Tamandua tetradactyla: one gene and its partner. Each later gene encodes a partner of the first gene's protein in a complex. Links are inferred from orthologs where the notes say so. Each region holds a gene or a part of one and is shown on either strand. Other genes may lie near its edges.

What was found. Proteins that work in one complex are often made in the same cells at the same time.
Region 2: the proteins of MAPKAP1 (region 1) and HRAS are in contact, whole or in part, in a crystal structure (PDB 7VV8), measured with the Homo sapiens proteins. The link is inferred for Tamandua tetradactyla from reciprocal best matches to the Homo sapiens genes MAPKAP1 and HRAS. Residues at the interface, in NP_001006618.1 of Homo sapiens: Glu277, Ser278, Phe280, Ala286, His287, Gly288, Phe289, Ser290, Leu291, Ile292, Gln293, Arg311, Arg312, Lys313; in NP_001123914.1 of Homo sapiens: Gln25, Asp33, Ile36, Glu37, Asp38, Ser39, Tyr40, Arg41, Leu56, Glu63, Tyr64, Met67.

The regions. Positions count from the first base shown.
Region 1 is NC_135328.1:47,965,940-47,973,224, forward strand, and holds the start of MAPKAP1 (target of rapamycin complex 2 subunit MAPKAP1), read right to left. Parts: upstream 3,047-7,285; 5' UTR 2,996-3,046; intron 2,986-2,995; exon of another isoform or gene 2,738-2,985; intron 2,668-2,737; exon of another isoform or gene 2,513-2,667; intron 1-2,512. UniProt on the Homo sapiens protein: Component of the mechanistic target of rapamycin complex 2 (mTORC2), which transduces signals from growth factors to pathways involved in proliferation, cytoskeletal organization, lipogenesis and anabolic output.
Region 2 is NC_135335.1:395,700-402,847, forward strand, and holds the start of HRAS (GTPase HRas), read right to left. Parts: upstream 3,069-7,148; 5' UTR 2,989-3,068; intron 1,826-2,988; exon of another isoform or gene 1,729-1,825; intron 1,595-1,728; exon of another isoform or gene 1,523-1,594; intron 1,373-1,522; exon of another isoform or gene 1,285-1,372; intron 177-1,284; exon of another isoform or gene 1-176. Other genes in the region: LRRC56 (leucine-rich repeat-containing protein 56), read left to right, coding at 6,115-6,279. UniProt on the Homo sapiens protein: Involved in the activation of Ras protein signal transduction. Ras proteins bind GDP/GTP and possess intrinsic GTPase activity.

The DNA of each region.
Region 1 (7,285 bases):
GTGTTTTGGCCTACATGATAACTTTGAAAATGGCAAAATTTTAAGACAAACTATCAACATTTAGATTTCTAACATCTCCTGAAAAAAAATAAGGAGATCCAGGGACACTGATCCCACTCCCTCACAAGACAACAATCAGCTGGAGCTGAACAGCAGCTGCCACCATATGCTCTCCAGTTCACCTCAGTCCATCCCTCCCTACTTATTGTATTACACCCTGGACATCTGAGTTTGTGACCCCTGAGGTAGATGCTCAAAAAAGAACTGAGTAAGTATCTGCTTACTCATTTTTGCCCAACTACTTCCGGCTCTATCACTCACCAGCTATGTGACTCTTGAGCAAAGTAACTGCTAAGCCTTATGCTACTTGTGTTAAATGGGGTTAATACTACCTGTCTTCCAGGATTATGAAGATTAAAGGAAATAAGGTATACAAAAGCATTTAACAACAACTGAAAGATAACTGCCCAACCATTTTTAACTGAAAACAAGCTAAAATGTGCTAACTTTAGAGAATAACTTCTCAAAAACTTCAAACTCAAGTCAAATAAGATCAAGGCACTTATCATGGGGAAAAATAGGTACTGTGACAGAAATCCTTGTCATAAAATAATTTGGCATCCATTGCCATGTCCTTAACAACAAAGCCTATACATGAGAATAACAGAATTCCAACAGATTCTCTTCTTTCTCTTCTTTCCCTATTCTGTAAATTGAGGTTAAAATGATTGAAGAAAAACATACGTACAATACTCAGAATATAGTAAACATTCAATAAAGCTCAATAAAGCAGATTCTCTCAGCCCAAAGTATATATAAATATGTTTCTAAAGTCTTTACTTGAGTCACTAAGAAAAACAAATTTCCCCACTCTTCAAAAGAGAAATACATTTAAAAAGAGAGATTAGACTACCAACTTCTCTATGCATTTCATACTTTCTCTTTTTTATAGATACTTCAATATATACTTGTACAAAGAGAGCTATGGTGTGAGAAAGAAGGCACATAATAGAGAAAAAGCAGTTACAGGCATCAGAGAGTCCTGGGTTTAAATCCAGACTCTGTCACAAACTAATTGTTTAATTTATCCTGAGTTTCCCCATTCTGTAAATTGAGGTTAAAATGATTGAAGAAAAATAAATGTACAATACTCAGAATATAGTAAACACTCAATAAAGCTTGGTTTACCCATATTACAAAGTATTCCCCAGCTATATCCCACTATATCCCCATAAACCCTCCCCTTCTATGCCACCACTGCATCACCAGTGTAACTCTCAATGTACTTATCGCTCTGTTATACATTATGAATTTCTTTCTTTTTACTAAATTGAGCTCCCTGAGGACAAGGACTGAGTGTAATTTACCTTTAAGTTCCCAGTACCTAACATGGTGCTGAGTATTAAACCATACTCAGTAAATGTTTGCTAAATGAAATAATTGTAGGAATGATAATGAATGCTTCTAGAGAAGCATAAAGTATTTCCAGGGAATTTGTCCAGATAGCTGAAGGAGGCCAACTTCAGCTAGGCCATAGGTAGCATCTCAATAGGTGGAAACAGAACAGGAGAACCTACAAGGCAGGGAAAATGTGAGGAAAAAAAAAAAAAGCAACTGCCATAAGAAAGAAGAAAGGGAAATTGAGATCCTACTTATCTAGAGTAATGGGTTAGGATGGGGTAATTAAAGGGGGACTTTTCAAGAGTAGTTGGAGAGGTAGCCAGGAGTCTGGTAAGGAGGCTTGTTAGGTGATGAGTGCAGTCTGCATACAGAGTAGTTAAAGGTCGGTATGAGTACAAAGCTGAATGGGAAGTAAGCCTGGAGGTAAGTAAACTGAAAAAGATGAAAACTATCAATGCTTCATCAAGAACTCTTCACTAAATATTTACTAAGCACCTTCTATGAGTTCATAGAATATGAGAAATAAAACATGGACTTTGCTTTCCTGCCCTAGTGGATTTTAACTTTAGGAATCCACTCCTTCTGCTGTCAAAAAGAGATGAGAATGCTGACAAAAAAAAAAAAAAACAACAACTAATGCGTGTAGACACCTGCCTCCCTGTTTGACTCTTCACACCTGGGGATCTCTGGGACCTTGTTCATTTTGGTTCACAACTTTTGCACAGTGCCAGGTACTTAATGGATTTTGAAAACTACTTGCATTCATTCAGAACGAAGTTTCAACCAATTTCTGAGATAACTTTTTGGTCCCCAGTTAAAGTAATACTCGTGTTTAAATTACAATCATTTCTCGCTTTTTTCCAACTTTAAACAGATCTAGAAGACTCCTTGCCACTTCCATAAACAAAAAGCTGAAACGAAGTTCCAAGAACATCTCAGTTAGGAAAAAAAAAAGATTCGCGGAGACTGTTTAATCCATTGGGGGGGGGACAGGGAGAAGAGGCGTTAGGAACCAAGGACCACAGGCAATGCTTTAATTTTCACGTTATGAAGATCGGGTCAACTAAATGTTTCTTAGTGTAGGACCAGAAACTGCCGGGGCCAACCGCACCTTCCTACCAGGTCTACTAGTTTCTCCTCTTCCAAATAACACACTGAGCTGTCAGGGTCTTGTCAGCCTCCGGTTCTGGAAAGGGCCAGGAAACGGATGTTCCCAGGGGAACCAAAAGCAAGGGCCTGACGGAAAGCGGAGCGCGGGGGAGTGGAGGAGGGTCGCCAGGCCCTGCGCGCGGGCTGGCGGGCGAACGAATGAGCCAGCGGGCAAGGCAACCTTTACCTGAAGCTGCTCCCACACAGTGGGCCAGGCCGGCCCCAGGACAGGTTTCAGAGGAAAGAGCCCGGCTCCCCTGGTCCTCCCGGCCCCTGCCCCGAACTCCGCACTCTCGGGATCCTCGGAACGGCTCTCCTCCCAGCCCGCTCAGCTGCTGCTTCCCAGGCTCGCCCTCCTGCCCCGCTGCCCGCCGCCACTGGCCCGCAAAGTAGCAGCCCGGATTCCCGGAGTCGCTCCACGACCCGGAACCGCTCCCCAACGTACCGGAAGTCCCCGGCCGGGAAGAAGCCGCTGGCTGGGGACAAAGTGCGCAAGCCCCAGAGCCGAAAGCGAAAAGCGGCGCCCACCCGGTGGGGCGGGGCTGAACGGGAGGCCATACGCATGCGCCGCCACTTAGGCCCGGGAAAATCCTGGATTGGAGATACTGGAATCTTGGGCTGAAATCGACTTTAGCGTCCTCGCGTTCTCCTTCGAATCCCTTTACCCTTCCTACTCACGTACACAGAGAAAAGCCCTGAGGGCATGCTACAAATCTGTCAGTAATGAGGCCTCTTAGCCTCTGGGTCAGGAAAGACCCGAGTTCAAATGCCATCTCTCTAACTTGCTCTGCGCCCTAGGACAGGATACCTTCCTTCTTTGAGCCTCAGTTTTACCATCCATAGCAATAGTTTCAACTTCAGAATACGAAGTCGTTGTAAGAATCGGTTGGGATCATGCTTGAAATACACTCATGCACGAAATATACCTGACACGTAGCGGATGCTAGGTGATAGTGTTCATTATTCTTATTGTCTGTAAAATGAGGATAATTCTTTTCCTCAAGAACAGCTTGGTGAGATGTAATGGGACTGACTTTGGAGCTCAGTACTTGCGGCCTCTCTCTCTTAGAGAAAGTGGGAAAAAAGCAATGGGGATAGAAAAAAAGACCCAAGCAGTGCAATAACAGCGTTCTCCACTTGAGAGTTAGTCTCGGAAGTATTTTCCAAAATGCGCCTTAGCAACCCAGATGCAAGGCTCCACAGCGCTTCTGCGCACACACCACCAGTTTCCATCCCGGGACTGCTGGAGACGCTATGCCAAAGCAACAGGTGTGAACAAGGCTGGTTTTAGGTTTTCCAAGCTTACCAGGTTATCTGCTTCACCAGGTTATGTGCTCCAGCGGCTCCCACCACCGTGGATATACTGTCGTCTCCTCAATTTTAATTTCCACTTTCACCTCTCTCCTGAGCCTAAAGTACAGCTGCCTGATTGTCATTAGGCACCTAAATCAAAGCCTGTCAAAAACGGAAATCGATTGCACCAGTTAAGCATTTATAGGTTATAAAGATGAAATACCCACTCTACCACTTATAAGCTTTGTGATTTCATCCCTCCAAGCTGTCTCTCTAAATTTCCTTATCTGTAAAATGGGAATGATATACTTCCTCACTAACTTCATTGCGTTCTTGTGAGGATTAAATGAGTTAATACATATTACAACTCTTGTAGAAAAGAATCAGACAAATAGCCAATACTTACTGAATGCTTACCGCTATTACTACCTCTCTGTCGTTCAACAGATAATTATTGAGCACCTATCATCTAGTAAGCCTGTCTTGGCGCTGAGGATTCAGTTGCGGGGGGGGGGCGGGGGAAGCCACACAAGGATCCTGCCCTAATGAAGCTTCTAGTCAAGTTTGATTATGGATTTGAAGTAGACCCTGTGGCAAATTGGAGTGCTGGGAAATATGGCAAGATTTCAAGTACAGTGTTGAGAGTCCAGTTGAGGATGGAAACTCTTGAGTTTACAGTGTTAGTAATATGATGGTTTGTATAATTTATCTATAGCCAGTTTGAGCAGTCAAGATACAGGCACACAGACGATGTGATTGTGAAAACCTTCTGACTGACTTTCAGAGACCAGCCATGAAGACTCTGGAAGTTGGCTAATAGTTGAGGACGTGGGGCCTAGGCAAACTGTGCCCTGCTGATACGGCAAACTACAGAAACAAGTGTTCTCAAGGAGGTTGACTAAGGACACGGGGCATAGGCACACCGTGCTCTGCTAATGTGGTAAACTGCAGAAGCAAGGGCATAGACACACTGTGCTCTGCTATGTGGTAAACTACAGAAGCAGGTGTTCTCAAGGAGGTTGACAGAGGACACGGGGTATAGGCAAACCATGCTCTCCTAATATGGTAAACCAATGTGGCAATTGTCCTTGAGAATATTAACTTTAAGGTCTGAGGAGGTCTAAAGAGAACATTCTGATAAGAAATAAATGGTTCCTGGGATAAGGAGCTGGGAACCAAACTTTGTAGCTTTGTAAGCATGACAGTTATTCAAAAATAATCTTGGTTTGGTTATATGCCCTAAAGCAGTTCCCATATAAGAGCACAATAAATATGTGGGCGTCAGTGTATTCGGGGCTCTTGCTCCTGATGAGCTTGAGTCCCCTGACCCATCTTAACTATCATCTTGTGTCTGTCGTTTCTTAATCCTGCACAGTGCCCCTTCTTCTACCCTGTTCTCCAGGGAATCCCCATAAACTGACATTCCTTTATCCAGTGTATAGACAGATGAGTAGGAAAAAAAAATGACAAAAAATAAATAACTAATGTGGGGGTATGGGATGATTTAGGTGTTCTTTTTCACTTTTATTTTTAGTTTTATTCTTATCTTAATTTGGGGGAAGTAATGAAAATGTTCAGAAGTCTATGGTGGGGGTGCAAGGGTAGTTCAGTGGTAGAATTCTCACCTGCCAGGCAGGAGACCTGGGTTCAATTTCCACTCCATGAACTTCCAAAAAACAAAAATTCAACAAATAGTGCTGCAATAATGGGATACTCACATGGAAAAATAATGAAATGTGACCCTGCCATACAGCATAAAAAAATTTTAAAGACTCTATTGTGATGACAAAGACACAGCTATATGATGATACTGTGAACCACTGGTTGTACAAGTTGGATGATTATATGGTATGTGAGTATATAATATATCTCAATTTTTAAAAAAGATATAAGCACACAAGGAGTGAGCAATTAAATTAGTCAAAGGAAGGACTTTTGCTAGGCAGGTGTGATGGGGTCAAGGATTTCAAGATCTCACCTCTTAAGAATGCTTAAAACAACAGGTCACCAAATGTATCTTGGATAAAGATGCAAGAGAATTGTGGAAAGTTGATGCCACTGATCAGAAGGTCTCAGAACAGGTGTAATGGGAATCAATGATGGAGCAAAGACAAAAAGATGGAAGTTATCAGAGAGAAATGTCTTAACTAACAATCTCAGCTGAAAAGCTGTGTGAGGGTAGGGTCCTGGCTGAAGTGGAGTGGAGAAAAAAGATGGTGAAGGAACTGAGATGTCTCATGGACCATTCTAGAAGGCCCTAATAAGATGGCCGGAGGCAGAGGTGTAAAGGAAACCCAGAGGCTGCCTAAGCCATTCTGTGGCTGAGGACCAGAATTGGAGAGGTAAGTAGTTGGGAAGAGAGGTCAGGGCAAGTGGATGACGTAAGCCTCCATGGAGCAGAGTTGTATCAGAGGGTGGAACTGACATTAAAATAGGGTAAGATATTGGGTAATTGGAGCTGAAGGGATACAGACTGTGCAACAGGCCTGAATACAAAAACTCAGAAATGGACAGCACAATACTACCTAACTGTAACACAATTATGTTAAAACACTGAATGAAGCTGCATGTGAGAATGATAGAGGGAGAGGGCTGGGGACATAAATGAAATCAGAAAGAAAGGCAGATGTTAAAGATTGAGATGGTATAATCTAGGAATGCCTAGAGTGTATAATAATAGTGACTAAATGTACAAATTTTAAAAATATTTTTGCGTGAGGAAGAACAAAGGAATGTCATTACTGCAGGGTGCTGAAAATAGATGGTAATTAATATTTGAAAATGTCACCTTATGTGTGAGACTAAAGCAAAAAATGTTTATTTGTCACAAAATTTATATTTTGACTAGTGCATTTCCTAGTATAACTTATGTAGATAGTTTGATTGAACACATAAGTACTTGGAATCTCAGGTAGGACATGAGATTTTGTTGTTTTGTACAGAGTGATGCCCCGATGAATCCCAGAGTGATTCGATCAGTGAGTGGAAAAGTATTTGCAAAGCCCCCTTTGGGGAATGGTGAGAACGGGGAGAAATTCAACTTCCCCAAGTTGAATTCTTGATACTCTCACAAGCAGTGTGGACAACCAAAGCTACAGGCTGAGCCTCCAGTCTTGGGGTTTGTTCATATGAAACTTAACCCCACAAAGGATAGGTCAAGCCTACTTAAAATTTAGGCCTATGAGTCACCCCCAAGAGAGCCTCTTTTGTTGCTCAGATGTGGCCTCTCTCTCCAGCCAACACAACAAGCAATCTCACCACCCTCCCCCTGTCTAGGTGGGACATGACTCCCAGGGGTGTGGACCTTCCTGGCAACGTGGGACAGAGATCCTAGAGTGAGCTGAGAATCAGCCTCAGGAGATTGAGAAAAACCCTAGAATGAGCTGAGACTTAGCATCAAGGGATTGAGAAAACCTTCTCGACCAAAAGGAAGAAGAGTGAA
Region 2 (7,148 bases), on another chromosome or scaffold:
TCTGGCACCACGTGCACAGGCCAGGAGCTCAGCTCAAGGAATACCCCCCATCCCAGGAGAGTACTTAAGAAACCCCTCAAGAGTAAGGGAACAGTCAGAACTGAGGCACTGCCTTGAACCCCACATATACCCCCAATGGCACACACGTGTCAGCCTGTACCATCACTTGAACCCTGAGGCTCCTTAGCACCCCCACTCAAACCCTGAGCCTCCTCTCCACCCCCACCCAAACCCCAAGGCTCCCCTGCACCCCTACCCGAACCCCGAGGCTCCCCTGCACCCCCACCCGAAACCCGAAGCTCACCTGTACCCCCACCAGAACGGAGAGGCTCACCTAATCCCCCCACCAAGACCCTGAGGCTCACCTGAACCCCTACCCGAACTTTGAGGCTCCCCTGCACCCCCACTCAACCCCCAACGCTCACCTGCACGTCCACCCGATGGCCAAGTCTCCCATGGACCCCCACCTGAACCCCGAGGCTCCCTTGCACCCCTATCTGACCCTGAGGTTCCCTTGTACCCCCACCTGAACTCTGAGGCTCCCCTGTACCCCACCCAAACCCGGAGGTTCACATGCACCCCCACCCAAACCCTGAGGCTCCTCTGCACCCCTACTTGAACGTGGAGGCTCCCTTGCACCCCAACCCAACGATCCCTTTCACCCCCAAGCGAACTCTGAGGCTGCCCTGCACCACCACCTGAAGCCTGAGCTTCAGTCACCTGAACACCCACCAGAACCCGGAGGCTCACCTAAACCCCCACCCGAATCCCAAGGCTCAACTGAACCCCTACCCGAACCCTGAGGCTCTGTTGCACCCCCACCCAAACCCTGAAGCTCCCCTGCACCCCACCCGAACCTCGAGGCTCACCTGTATCCCATCCAAACCCGGAGGCTCACCTGAACCCCATCCGAACCCCGAGGCTCCCCTGTACCTCCACCCAAACCCCGAGGTTCCCTTGTACCCCCACCTGAACCCCGAGACTCACCTGAACCCCACCCGAACTCCGACGCTCCCCTGTACCCCCATATGAACCCCGAGACTCACCTGAACCCCACCCAAACCCCGAGGCTCCCCTGTACCCCCACCCAAACCCCGAGGCTCCCTTCCACAGCCAAGCGAACCCCGAGGCTACCCTGCATCGCCACGTGAAGCCCGAGGCTCACCTGTACACCTAGTAGAACCCGGAGGCTCACCTAAACCCCCACCAGAATCCCGAGGATCACCTGAACCCCACCCGAACCCCAAGGCTCCCTTGCACCCCCACCCAAACCCCGACACTCACCTGCACCCCCACCCGAACTCGAGGCTCACTTGTATCCCTAACCGAACTCCGATTTCCCCTGCAACCCCCCAAATCCCGAGGCTCCCCTGCATCCCCTCTCGAACTACGAGGCTCCCCTGCAGCCCCCACTCGAACCCCAAGGCTCCCCCGCAGCCTTCACCCTAACCCCGAGGCACCCATCTACTCCCACTCGAATCCCGAGGTTCCCCTGCACCCCTTCCTGAACCCCGAGGCTCACCTGTACCCCCACCCACCGCCGCAGCCTCCCAGACCGAGAACTAGCAAGTTGGCCTCCCGCCCTCGGCGAGGTGGGGCGCGGCTCCCGCCGCACTCCCCGCCGCCCCCGCCCGCTGCTCGGGGGAAGCGCCTGCGCCTCGGAGGGGGAGGGGCGCCAGGCCCACGCCACCGCGCGCCGCGGCCCCCTGGCCCTCGCCTGCCACTCACCGCCCACTGACGCGTCTGCCCCCGGGGCCGGGGCGGAGGCTGGGGCCGGGGCGGGAACGCGACGCGCCCCGCGCATGGGATCCCTCCGCGGCGGGTGCGGCTCCGGCTGCGGGAGGCGCGGACGGCGTCGGCGTCGACTCGGCCGGGCACACGAACGCCCCGCCCTGCGTCCGTCCGTCATCCCGCAGCGGCCCACTACTGGCTCGCCCGGCAAGATCCCGCCCCGCGTCGGTCCGTCCACTAGACGCGGCCTACCATTGGTCCGCACGTCCCTGCCCCGCCCCAAGGCCGCCTCCGCCCTGACCGCGCTTCGGTTGGCTGAACGGCCCGTCGGTCAAACCGCGGCTGGGCGGGACTTCCTGGAGCGGCGCGGAGGGCGGGGCCGAGCTCCAGTGGTGTTCGTGGGCGTGGGCGTGGGCGTGGGCGTGGGTCGCACTCGTAGCGGGGTCTCGGGGTCGTGGAGGGTTAGGGAGCCGGACTCCGCGGGCGCGGGAGAGCGAGGGCGGCGGAAGGACGAGTCTCTGCGGTCCAGGCGGCCCCGCCCCGCAGCCGTGCCCGGGGTCGGGGGACGAGTCTCGGCGCGCGCTCTTGCCTACGCTGGCCCTTGCTTCGCACTTTCCTGTCTCCCGCTGCCCCCAGCCCCAGCCCGGCCCTGCCGACGCCTCCGCCCACGCAGCTCCCCGCACCCCCGGCTGCGCCTCTGCGGCCCGCGGGGCTCACGGCACACCCGATTCCGGCGCCTGGGCACGTCCAACCCGAACAGCTGCCCCGGGGGGCGAACGGACAAGATTCCCGCAAGCGCAAGCGCGCGTTCTTTTTTACGATTCAAATAGAAACTTTAAACGTATTCTAAAACGTTGGGGTCCTGCACGAATACACCCTACTTCTTTCAGCAAAAAAGGGGAAGGACTGCGGAGGGGCTTCCCGTCCCGCCGCCCTCCCAGCGCACAGGAGCCGCTGACGTCTCGGCCGAGGCCCCAGGGCGCACACCGCGGGCCACTCTCTCCACCCCGGCCTGGCCCCTCCCGCGCACGGCCGCGTCCCCCGCGTCGCGACCTTGGCCCTACCCACCCGCGCTGCGGGGCGTGGAGCCAGTTTCGGGGGAGCGCCGGTGTACGCGGGGGCGCATGGGCGCTCCGGGGTGCGGTCTGGGTTTCTCTCGGATAGGAGGGTCCTTTCCCCGCCGCGCCCCCTCTCGTCGCGTTGCTCGCACTGCGCGGCGGAAGGTAAATCCCGGGGGATCTCGGGCGACCTGCCCACCTGGGAGAGAGGGGCGCGCGAGCCTCCCGGTTCCCCTCCAACCGATGGCGACTCCCTTCCCACCCCGCTCCCCCGCGGGCGCGCGGGGCACAGAGCCTGGGGGAGGGCTCCCACGCGTGTACCGGGCCGCGCAGGGTCGCGACCACTGCCCCGGCCCGGCGGGCCCTAGCAACCGCTCCTGGGGGCGTGGCTCAGCCGCGGGCTCCGCGGCGGGGGATCCCCGCGGCTTAGGCTTGGTGGCGTGTGGCCCCGCCCCCGTTGCCATGGAGCCCGGGCCCGCAACCCCCGGGCGGAAGAACAGCCCGACTCCCCGAAAGCCCCGCGGTGGGGGCATCCCCAGGTGAGAGCCGAGGGCGCCCTCGGACCGGACCTCAGGCCTCGCCCCTGCGCGACGCCGAGGGGCGCGAGTAGGACGCAGTGTCCTGGTGGGGCCGGCATTAGTCCCTAGGGTCACGGTGGGGGGGGGCGGTCAGGTCTTCCCTGAGAGGGAGAGACAAAGGCTGGGGCCCAGATTCTGTTCTGGGGGTCTCCATGGGGGGCGCACATGAGAGAGACCAGGGCGGGACGGGGGCACATTGGGCGGCGCTCGGCCTCTTCCGGCCAGAGGCGCCCGCGGAAGCATAGCACCCTGGCCCGTGCCCTTCCCATCACCCTGGGCTGGCGTCGGGGTGGGGGGGCGGGTTAGGTGGGCAGCACCATCCCAAGGGGATGCCAGGGAGGGGGTCACACTGGGAGCCCGGGAGTAGTGAGAGATCTGGTCACTCTGCTTGCGGATCACCAGAATTGCCTCCAACCAAGGCGGCCAGCCGGGACTGCGCCGCGCCTCCGCCCTCCCGCCCTCCCAGCTGCGTGCTGGGCCAAGCCCGCCACGGAGGGTCCGCTGAGCGTGTGGGGTCTGGTCCCATTCTGCCGCCCTGCTGTTGGTCCCTCGCTGTGTGCACCTCCTGCCCGCTGCCCCCTGCTCCCGGACCCGGCCACCCACAGGAACTTCGGTGGCAGCGGCAGCTATGCACTGGCCCGCAGAGCAGAGCCAGGTTGCTGTTCTACCAGACCTCCCTGTTGCACCCCAAGTCCCAGCTCGTACACCTCACTCACGCTCTTTGTGCCGCCATGGCCCGGGCATCCGCGCTGACGAGAGGGGAGGAGGCCCAGGGCCTTGGGAGGCGGGGTCCTCAGCCGGTGGCTGGGTAAGGCCGTGGGAGCTCAGCGCTGGGGGAAGCACCACGCAGGAGGGGCCAGGCCGGGTGGGGACAGCGGCCCCGGGTCATCAGGAGAGGGCGGGAGGCGGGACGGGCGGTGAAGGGGCCCAGAGCGAATGGATAATGCAGGGGCTAAACCACGTGGATGCCCCCACCCACTCGCGGAGCCTGCACCCCCAAAACTGGCCCTGGCCACATGGTCTCTTGGACAGGGGCCTCGTGTGGGGACTGAGGGGCAATGAGGAGGTGCTGGAAGGGGGTCTGGGGTTGGCGCCCCGGGTGGGGTGGGAGGGTCGGGCGGGGTCTGCAGGGCCTTTGCGGGGGCGGGAAGCCCCCTGCTTTCCAGGGCGCAGTCACCGGCACCCAGACGTCGCCCTTTCAGCACACAGTTCAGCTCTTTGTACCTGACTTTCAGGAAATTTTTGAAGAAATCTCAGTTGCAAAGATGTAGTTATAAGATTTGTCTTTTGAGCGTTCGACGATGGCGAAATAGATGTATTTTGCAACACCCATCAAAAAGGGCAATTCGTTCCTTTATTTAGCAGATGTTTGTTGAGCACCTGCTGGGCGGGGGGGGGGGGGGGGGGGCGCTACAGAAACTTCCAGGCCGCCGGCGCCCCCTGCGCCCCGCCCCCCGACGCAGGGCCGCGGCCGGGGGTCTTGGCTGCTCAGCCCGCGTCCGGGGAGGGGCTGCCGGTGAGGACCACCCGGACCCCAGGCCCGAGGGCGCGGCCCCTTGCGTTCTCCCATTCACCGGCTGTTCACGCGCCCCCTCAGGCGCGCCTGCTTGATGCGGGGCCGCGCGTGGGTGCGGGGAGCAGGCCACACCCCACAGGCTGAGACCCGGGCGCAGGCCCCGAAGGGTGGGGAGGGCTCGGAGCGGGCAGACCCCAGGCCAGCGGGTCCCAGCAGGGTGTGGAGGAAAGGGGCTTGGGAGAGGGGTGGGGATTCACCTGGGGGCCCAGAGAGCCCGTGCAGCAGTGACTTGCTCCATGGGCCTGCCTGGCTCCTTCTCCTCTTAGCCCCAGCGGGGTGAGGAGGGCCACGGGTCGGCAGCGACCCTCACACCCGCGGGCAGGAGGCGGGGGCACCCCTTGGGCCTGGGTCGCAGCTTCTCTCTCCTGCAGGTGCTGCCTGAGGCCCCCCGGCTGGATGTCTGACTCATGCAGGAGAAGGCAGCTGCCCGCAGGTACAGATCTCCACTGCACAGGGCAGCGCTGGGGTGCCAAGGGGGATGGTGGCAGTGCCTGGGGCTCTGCTCCTGGGCCTAGGGTTCAGGACCATCGGGTGGAGCCTGTTTAGGTGCTCAATTGCTAGTCGTGGGCAGCCGTGGAACCCGCCCCCACAGGCTCACAGACCCCCAGAAGCAGCCCCCAGTCTCACAGCACCCCAAGGTCACAGCTCCCCAGAGTCACAGTCCCCCAGCCTCCCCCGCCCCCAAGATCACAGTTCTCTAGCCTCGCAGTACCCCAAGGTCACAGCCTCACAGCCCCCATCCTTGCAGCTCCCCAGGCTTAGATGGGGGAGAGAGCTGTGGAGCGAAGCCCCTTGCTTGGGCCGTGTGTGTGTGTGTGTGTGTGTGTGTGTGTGTGTGTGTGTGTGTGTGTGTGTGTGTGTGTGTGTGTGTGTGTGTGTGTGTGTGTGTGTGTGTGAGACCCCAGAGCCAGAGAGGCTGGAGCGTTCCGGGAGGCCGATCGCCTGGGGCAGCCTTGGCGGGGACAGGGTATGAGCTGGGTTGGCTGAGGCTGCAGTTGTTGCATCAGTCGGGTCCCCAGGGTGGGAGGGGACCCTGATGCTGCGTGTGCTGGGCGGCCGGTCCCACCATCGGGCACAGGGCTGGGGAACAGCCCAGGGGCCGGTGGGAGGTGGGCTGCGGACCCCGGCGTGCCCAGCTTGCGCTCTGCTCCTCCCGCCAGGTGGGATGTGAATGGAGCCCGCCTGGGACACAGCCGGGGGGCCTCGGCCCCGCACGCCCAGCATCCGCGTGTGGGAGCTGAGCTGGCCGGGCCCGCAGAACCCCTGCCCACCCAGCGAGGGCGCAGACGGCCGCAATGGGCCGTTGCTGGAGGAAGGCCTGTCCCCCACCCGGCTGGTGAGTGCCGGGGCCTGGGGCCGCAGGAGGGTGGAGCCTGGGGACCCTCTGCACAGCGCAGGGCACGGACGGCTGAAGCGGCCGCGGGCGGGGTGTCCAGCAGGGCTAGGGGTGGCTGAGCGCAGAGTGGGTGTCTCGGGAAGGAGCCCCTCCACTGCCTCACAGGCCCTGTGACGTGGGACAGGCAGGTGGGGCTCTGCTGGATGTGGGGTAGGGTGCTAGGGGCCCCAAGCGGCCTGGTGGGCAGGTGGAAACCTCAGACCCTGCAGCCCCCGGAGGCAGGGCGGACAGGGCCCCACCTGACCGATATGGGGCAGGGCCACAGGCCTTTCTCAGTGCCACCCCGCACTGCCCAGGACCGCCGAATGTGCACCCCCAGGCTGCCTTTCCCCTCACCTGCCAATCCCTGTCCCCCACAAGCCCGGCTGCCCCCCCATAGCTCCCAGGCCACCCCCTCACCCGCCCGCACCCCCAGCCACCCAGTGTCCCCACTGGGCCCTGTGGAGGTCCCGAGCTGGCAGGCAGTCCCCTCCCACCCAGCACCTGCCCCCGAGGGTCCTGCATGCAGGGGTGGTGGGGGCTCCAGGCCCTGGGGACCCTGTGCCTGCCCCAGGGACGTGCGAGCCTGATGGGGAGGTCCCAGCCCCAGGGAAGGGGTGCCTGGGGATAGGCCCAGCAGTGGGGGCGCTGTGAGTGGAGGGACCGGAATGGAGCTGGGGGGAGAGGAGCTAGGGAGGGGTCCATGCGGTGGGGCTGGTGGGTGGAGGTGACCCTGACCAGGATGGGCTACAGGTCTGAGTGGGGCCGGCGTGGGGCCTCATCCTCAGGGCTGTGTCGGGGCGCGTCCCCTTGGGCCCCGTCGGCCACCT